2 linked regions of the Coturnix japonica genome follow. The protein of the gene in region 1 binds, or shares a complex with, the protein of each later gene. Links are inferred from orthologs where the notes say so. Each region holds a gene or a part of one and is shown in the gene's direction. Other genes may lie near its edges.

Region 1 (4,449 bases):
GGTCTCCTGGTGAATCCAAATCACAGCTTGTTGGTAATGGCTTCTTGAGCAAGCTCCTCAAACAACGAGCAGTGACTGTCTGACATTAACGTTGCCAGTAAATATTAATTCCTTTACCAAATCCTGCTGTGCAATTTCATAGGCAAGGACTCAATACCTTAGAAATGTAAGCAGAGATCTAGAAATAAGGAGGTAAAATAAATCTAGGCAGAAGAAAAAAAGAAGAGCCAAACAAACCAATTTTCAGGACATAAAATCCCCAAATGACAAAAAACATGAGTGGAGGGGACCCACAGGGATCACTGAGCCCAGCTTCTGGCTCCACGCAGGACAACCTAAAAAACTAATTTGATGGCTGAGGGCCATACCTTTGAAAATGCACATAGATTAAGTTAGTGCAGTTGTGACCTCCTTAGTTTGTATTGATCAAAGTTTTCTATTTGTTCAATAGGACAGGCTGGAAAGTTGGATGAAGAGGAACCTGATGAGGTTCAACAATGGTATGTGCAGAGTCCTGCACCTGGGGAGGACTAACCTCACGCTTCTATACAAGTTAGGGGCTGACCTGCTGGAGAGGAGCTCTGCAGAGTAAATAAAACTCAGATGTCCTGGTGGACAACAGGTTGGCCATGGGCTAGCAGTGTGCCTTCGTGGCCAAGAAGGCCAGTAGTATCCTAGGATGCATTAAAAAGAGCACGGCCAGCAGGGCAAGGGAGGGGATCCTCCCCCTCTACTGTGTCCTGGTGAGGCCACACCTGGAATGCTGTGTCCAGTTCTGGGCTCCTCAGTCCAGGAAACTTCTAGAGAGTCCAAGAGAAGGCTGCAAAGATGACTGGGAGCATCTCCCTGATTCTGGGATTGCCCAAGGGATGCCTGGGGACGAGGAGCATTTTATCATTGTTTACAAATACCTAAAAGTGAGGGAGTCAAACAGATGGGGCCGGGCTCTTTCTAGTGGTGCCGTCAGGACAATAGCAACGGGCTGAATGACCTCCAGAATTCCCTTCCGTGATTCTGTGAATGTCTTACTGCGTTCCTCGAGTTTAAAGCAAAAGATAAGGCGACTGAGCGGCGCATACCACAACTCACCCCCCACACGCCGCCATACTAACGTCTCCCCACACACTCTGAGGACCCCGCGGGGTCGGAGGCAGCCCCCCCTGTCACAGCACCTCTTCCCGTGTAAGCCTGGCGCCCAGCGCCCTGTGAGGTGAGGCAGCGCCCCTACGCATCCTTCCCGCCCTCGCGGTGGTTTCTTTTCCCCTTCCGTCCCCCGGTTCCCCCCTCACCCCGCCTGCCGGTGCCTTCCCGCCCACCCTCCGTGCGGGGCGGGGCAGGCTGCGCACGCTGCGGGCCGTTGGCAGCGCGGGCCGAGGCGGGCGCCTGTGGGCCGGGGAGCACCGAGGTTCGGCCTCGTCCTGCCGGGAGGAGAAGCGAGGCGGAGGGACGAGAGGTGAAGAGAGGGGACGGCCGGGCGGGGCTGGCGGCTGAGGGAGGCGTAACGGCGGTGTGTGCCCGCAGGGCTCCCGGCTGGAGGAGGATGTGAGGCTGCAGAAAGATGAAACCCAGCGCCGCACAGGTCGCCAATAAAGGAGCTCGTCCCCGTAAGTAGCGGGGCCTGCGGCCGGCTTCATTAGCGCGCCGCTCTTCCCTCTCGGTGATTTTGCCTTTTCGCTTCATCTGGTGTCGGGACTCGATCGTTAAAAGCCTAATATTGGAGGGATGTGAGCTGGCTGCCATCAGGCCCTGCCCCGCGCGGCCCTTCCGCCCCTATAGAAACTGCTTTCATCGCGGTATTGCGAAGTGCAGGCGTTGTGTTACTCCTAGCGAGTTCGGTGCGCCTTTTTCAGTGGGAATTGCAGTAGTTTTCGAGGTGCTGTGGCCGTCACTTATACGTGCTGGGTGTAACACGCTGTTTGATCCCTGCAGAATTTCTCTTACCTGCCCGCTCACCTGTGGCTCCAGACTTCATCCTTCTCTCTTCAGCTTCCACACGAATTACACTGTCCAAAGCCTCCATGTTTCCTATTTATCTGCTTCTTCTGGTTTCTCAGATACTACTGAATTAACTGCTCTTCCTGCTTTGCTTCTATGTGCTCATAACCACTACTGGGAGAATACAGCAGCAGTATTGGCTTTGCTTCCTCCTTCTGAGGCAGTTTCAGAGGAGAGAATGCACGGCAGAGTGACTGTTTTGACTCCAGAAGATTCCCACACACTCCCTGCAACAGGCCTCTGGCCTTACTGAACTTGTCCAAAGGAGAAGTAACCAGGCTCTGGCCTAAGGTCAGTCAGGACAAAAGCTGTGTAAAACTACCAATATGGCAGGCTTGGATCATTGAGCCTCCATCACAGGTTGTAAAAGGAGTCCTGTAATGAATGCAAGTAGGAACAGTCAGTCACGCTTCAGTGCATTTAGGATCCCTCAAAGTAATTTTTAAAATTTGCTTATTTTAAATGTCTATTCTGACAGACCTGAGTGGATAGTTCTAATTTGATCATCAGGCTTTTAGTTCAAGTACCTGAAGGGGGCCTACAGGAAAGCTGGGGAGGGATTCTTTGTAAGGACGTGTAGTGAGAGGATAAGGGAAAATGGCTGTAAACTGGAGGAGTTTACTTGATTTAGGCTAGATATCAGGGAGAGAAATTCCTTACTGTGAGGGTGGTGAGACACTGGAACAGGTTGCCCAATAAGGTTGTGGGTGCCTCCTCCCTGGAAGCATTCAAGGCCGGGCTGGATGGGGCTGTGAGCAGCCTGGTCTAGAGGGAGGTGACCCTGACTATAGCAGGAAGATGGGAACTGGATGATCTTAAAGGTCTCTTCCTACCCAAACCATTCTGTGATCCATTCTGTTATTCAATTGCTGTGTGTTATCTCTTATTTTAAGAGAAAAATTGACCAGGACAGAAAGGATGGTCATAACTAGAATGATTCTGGAACTTGAAGCAGACTTCCTCAGTCTCAGATGGGTGCTCAAAAATTAGATAAACAGGGGGATCTTCCTATTTTTTTAATGTTACACTGGCTTTTGATTTGTTTTTGTTCTGTTGCTTCTATACGAATCTTCCTTTTTTCCTAGTTGAAAAGGAGAGAGGCTGTTCTTTTTCCTCCTAAATAGTGTTCTTGTGATAATCACTGTCTGTACAAGTAGTGTATGTGCTGTGGGGATGGAAAATGCTTAACAAAGAGGATGAGAAAATGGATGGCATTGTATGGCAACTGAAATAAAAAGTCCATTTTAGTGCATGATTTAAAAAAAAAACACTTTTAAGAGCTCTTTGTTATTATATATGTCTTGTTTTTGACATGTTTAACATGTAGCTCTTTAATAAATGTCTTTTATTACATGGAAGCTTAACTTCTTTCATATTTAAAAAGAGGAGAACCCACATTTTGTAGAATATAATTCTTCTAAAATTGTCTTCTCTTTTGGCAGCAGATGAAATGCAAGCAAAAACAGAAAAGGTAAAATCTTCTCTGAAGAATGTGAAAAAAGAAGTAGGAAAAGCAGAGAAACTGAAATATAAACCACTCACTGGGAAAGTGTTTTACCTCGATATTCCATCAAATGTGATCTCCGAAAAAATAGGGAAGGATCTTAAAGAATTAGGAGGGGTAAGTTCATGTTCAAAGTGCCCAATGAAACTGAAAGAAAACCTGCAGCTGGGATGTCTCTCCATGTACTGTGCTGCTGTGTTTTAATGTTACATTTATTTTAGATGTGAAGGGATTTTATTTTTTTCATGTCATTTTAGTGTTTAGTATAGATCATCGGCTTATCAAGAAGTTGGTTTTGTGGGGTTTTTGTTTTTACTAGGAGCTGTTCTTCTGTGTGTAGCAGAAGTTTTTATCACAGAGGTTCATTTTCAGCTGATGGTTCGTTTACTTAGTTTTTTATCCAAGTGCTGTAAGTTTGTGTTTGAAGCAAAGTGTTTCTGCAACCTTGGAGTATTTTGACACATGTAAACATGTTATAGCTAAAGTTCTTCTGATGAACCCGAAAGAGGTTAGAGGAAGTGTTTTGCATATGTTTATGGAAAGTCTCGTGTTCTTTTAGCTTGGTTTGGGGTATTTGTTAAGGTTGTCTTTTACTTGAATGATCTGATGGAGTTTGTATGCATTTAATCGAATCATATATAAGATAGCATTTCTTAGATTTTCTAATACATTTTGTGTTTAGAGGCTACTTAACTAAAAGTATAATGGGAAAGTGGTTTGGCTTATTTTTTTTTCTCAAGTACGGGCTGAGGCTTATAAAGGCTGAGCTGGAGTACTGTCACCTAGCAGAGGGAGGAGATCTACACCTCTCTTGGCATTCAGGGCAGGTTGTGGAGGAAGAACCGAAGAAAGAACTTCAGTGCAGTTGTTGGGCCCAAAAGGATGTAGAGGGAAACAAAAAGTTTTGAGAGATTGGCAGCAGAACATCAACTCCTCAGTGTCATGGTTGA
Region 2 (3,813 bases), on another chromosome or scaffold:
AAGTTCTCAGCTGACTATTAAGAATACAGATTATTAAGTGTGACTTCACTGAAAGGCTTGAAGAGTTTTTCTCATTTGTTTCAGTCCCTTTTGAAACTTCTCAGGAGGTGTTATGTACCTGTCTTCCCAGCTCATCTTCTTTGTATGCTAGTTAGTATCTTTCCTACACATGTACCTTTCCACCAAGGTATCCCTAGTTCATGAAACCATAGCTTGTTATGATGCAACTGAAGCTGTGGAGAAAACAAACACGTAATAAACGTTTTCATTTTGCTGTTAGGAATTATTGTGACATGGAGAAAAACCCGAACAGAAGGCTTATCTAACAACAATCATCTTATTGTAGAATTAAAACTAGTACCACTTTGTTGTTGTGGCATTAACTGTTTCATACACTTATTTATTTTTTGTACTGATAATTGAATCAAAAGAATGCTTGAAAAATTATACTAACTTGAAAAAAAAACACAACTTGAAGCTTCAAAATATCTACTGGATATTAATTTTTGTAACCACTAAAATACGAAGTACCTTTTGTTGATGTTATGATTTAGGAGAAAGATTTGCTGTCTTCTGTTTTAAAAATTGGAGCTCCTTGCCGATGAGTCTTCAGTACTTTCAAGACAGGTATCTGTATGTAACAGGAAGCTTAAATATTTCATCTTCTGAAAAAATATCTGTTTTGCAGCTCTTTAAACAATCAAAGGTGATCGATGTTTCATCTAGGAAGTTAGTAACAAAGAAGAAGATTATTTCTACCAAAGCCATGAGCAATGGGCTGGGCAGGAAGGCTGCCAGTGGTTGTCCATCAAACCTGACCTGTAACTGTTACGCAACGGACAGAGTTTGCAGTGTTTGCCTTTCAAGGTAATTTGCTTCAACAATGCTGTAAAATTGCTTACTATGCTGCCAAACAAGTTCAAAAAGCTTGAATTAACCAGACAGCTGATTTAGTAGGTGAAAGACAGCATTTGATCTGTGCAGCCCTTATGACACTAAGTGAGCTCTTTAAAAGGAACAGTTCATGGAATTTGTGGAGTCATTGGTTCAGTGCTATTTGCAGCAAGAGATTCACTGTTATGATTTTCTGTTGCTGTTGTGTTGAATTATTTGCATTATCAATATGTGTTGTAGAAAATAACCTCAGTTAGTTACAAAACAAGAGTAGAAAATAATCTGTCATTGATCTAATAGGCCTAAATTATGCCAACTGCATTGAAATTCAGTGATTGGACTCTTGCTTTCTGAGAACTTAAGGCTAAATACATTCCCCAGGCTGTCTGTATTCTGGAAATCATGAAATGTAGAATAAAAGGGGAAGATAACAGTGCTGCATTTCTCAATTTGAAACATTTTAATAGTGGATAGGCCAGAGAGTCTAAATAACTCAGTTCAAATCCAGTCCTTTGTAGTTCATTTTGGCTATGATCTACCCTTACCTTTCCTGTCCACTTAGGGAACAGAAATTCCTGCAGAGAAATCTGCTTGGTAGGCGTAGTCATGAAACTGTGGTACTTCTCTTTCCTGACTGTCAAAATATGATGTTATCAAAGTCAGTTCAGAAATGAAACATGGGGAATTTGCTAGACTCAAGAAACTTGGCCTGCAGACAGAAAGCACTTTGGACCTTCTATACATTTTTAATAACGATCTCACACTTTTTAGTTAATCTAACAAGAAGTAAATTCTTGTCAACACTCAGAAATAGTGAATCTTAGTTTGCTCTGGATTAATAAAAAGCCATACTGTGCACACCCAAGAAACTAATGCATTTTTTACCATTGGTTAATTAGTCTTAACTTGAAAGTTCCCTATGAAAACACGTGTTGTCATTGAATAAAACTGAAAATATTGTGACTGAAATATGCAGTAAATACTCCTTCTACACATTATAACAAGATCAGTAATATAATAGGTAATTATAATAAGGTTATTTCATATGAAGTAATAATTATATGTTAGGTAATTGTAAGATATTTCAGACATAAAAACTGAATAGGGCAGATTTACATATCTCACAAAAGTATATTGTAAAAATAGTAGATATTGTTATAATTAGAATTTATTTCTCAATATGGATATTCTGAACATATTTGTCTCTTACTACAAGGTGTCAGCAAGTTGCTCCCAGAGCAGGAACACCTGGATTCAGAGCACCAGAAGTACTGACAAAGTGCCCCACTCAGACAACAGGTACAACATAGCAGACAAAAACTAAATGCCTTTCTTTTTCTTAAACCTGTCACTTACGCATTGACTTTATCTTTTGTATACCAGGCTGTTACACATGAAATTCATTTTCTTATCCCTTCTAACATTTATGAACCATTTCCCAAATTTAATTTGAAGTTAATTACTCCGAATAAGAAGGATCGAGGAATATTTTCCCATGTTTGAAATTTGAATGTCTGTATCCCTTTGAGGGGTACTGCCATACGCAGGAGTTCAATAGCACGTGTTTTAAAAGAAAACAAAGTTGTAAGTTTTATCAAGTTTCTTGGCTCACTGGCTTATTTATTCAAGAAAAATCTTAAATAAATCTTAGAGGGGTATGCTTTCTAGACAGTTTGACACGTGTATTTTGCTGTCTTGGGCATAACTAATTGTATCAGTGCAGTTTTTTATGTTTTTTATGATGTGTGTCAGTTAATTGGGACTTTTCACTGGATTTTTTTTTTTCCTTTTTGCTAATGCTTTAAATAGATGATCTGTAAATGTCATGATTTTTTCTTACTAAGATTTTTAGTTTCTCAGGGCTAAAACCTACATGTTTCAGTAGCCTGGTAAATATTGGAGAAGAACTAAGGGATGATTAATGCCGTAGGTGATGCAAGTAGGCTGGGAGAAGCTGTGCATACATGAAGAATTAGAGGGCTGATACAAAGTTCAATGTGTCACGTATGACCAGAAGTTTTGATTATGAAAATGAAGGATAAATACAAATGTTCTCAGAATTTGTATTTAAAATAAGTTTATAGCCATCTTTTTGCTTAGCACTTTGTGAGCATATAGTCAATTTACAGCATTTGAAAGTTCTCATACACACTCAGAGCAGCCTTACAATACGTTTGATCAGCATATCAATTGATAGCTTAATGCTATTTGAGGCAGGATCTGTGTTGTGGGCATGGCTGGGATTTCAAGAGGTATGGCAGCCTACTTGGAGTCACCGTGCCTGTGCAGTAACAGCCAGCTTTATGAGCTAGAAAACATCCAGAAATCCAGGATAAGTTTAGACAATCCCTGAATCCGTCTAGACAGAATTTATGCAGAAAGAAGACATACTTAAGAAATCTTGGACAGAGGGTTGTCTTAAGTGTGCTTTCAGACAGTTCTCTGTTCTCTAGGGTAATGGAGGGCAGGACTACAGAAAATATGGGTAGATCTGGAAACCCTTGGGTGTGGCCCTAAAGGTACTGAGTCAGTGGTGCAAAGCTTCTGTAATACGTCAACAAAGTGCTTCATTAGAACCGGGTAGAGTAATACTAATAGAGATAATGCTGTACTTGAGCTAACAAATCTCCTTACCCAATAACATCTGGGACTGCTGTAGTCACCTCCTTGTACTCCTGCCAATCTTGCTACTAGTTTTGGTCTTTGTGCCAGGACCAAGTTATCAGCTGGATCCAGCTGGCTGTCCAGAGCTACCTTAAGTAACTGAGCCATGTTTAAAGCACAGAGAACACAACCCAAACCTACAACTTGGCCCTAAGCAGATCCAGTTACAATTTTTAACTTGATTTGTTCCTTAGTTTCCCGTTAAGATGGCATCCCTCTCTAGCTGGATACTAACCACTAGGCAAATGCACAGAG

What was found.
Region 2: the proteins of DBF4 (region 1) and CDC7 are in contact, whole or in part, in a crystal structure (PDB 6YA8), measured with the Homo sapiens proteins. The link is inferred for Coturnix japonica from reciprocal best matches to the Homo sapiens genes DBF4 and CDC7. Residues at the interface, in NP_006707.1 of Homo sapiens: Thr210, Arg211, Thr212, Gly213, Arg214, Leu215, Lys217, Pro218, Phe219, Val220, Lys221, Val222, Glu223, Asp224, Met225, Ser226, Gln227, Leu228, Tyr229, Arg230, Pro231, Phe232, Tyr233, Leu234, Leu236, Met239, Pro240, Ile242, Asn243, Tyr244; in NP_001127891.1 of Homo sapiens: Asn56, Val57, Phe58, Ala77, Gln78, Leu79, Gln80, Ile87, Ile93, Pro94, Thr95, Ser96, His97, Pro98, Ile99, Arg100, Ile101, Ala102, Leu105, Gln106, Thr109, Lys121, Tyr122, Cys123, Phe124, Arg125, Asn127, Asp128, Val130, Leu143.

Annotation. Positions count from the first base shown.
Region 1 is NC_029517.1:18,953,979-18,958,427, forward strand, and holds the start of DBF4 (protein DBF4 homolog A), read left to right. Parts: upstream 1-1,489; 5' UTR 1,490-1,558; coding exon 1,559-1,604; intron 1,605-2,172; exon of another isoform or gene 2,173-2,286; intron 2,287-3,437; coding exon 3,438-3,616; intron 3,617-4,449. UniProt on the Homo sapiens protein: Regulatory subunit for CDC7 which activates its kinase activity thereby playing a central role in DNA replication and cell proliferation. Required for progression of S phase.
Region 2 is NC_029523.1:12,584,257-12,588,069, reverse strand, and holds part of CDC7 (cell division cycle 7-related protein kinase), read left to right. Parts: intron 1-688; coding exon 689-867; intron 868-2,110; coding exon 2,111-2,193; intron 2,194-3,813. UniProt on the Homo sapiens protein: Kinase involved in initiation of DNA replication. Phosphorylates critical substrates that regulate the G1/S phase transition and initiation of DNA replication, such as MCM proteins and CLASPIN.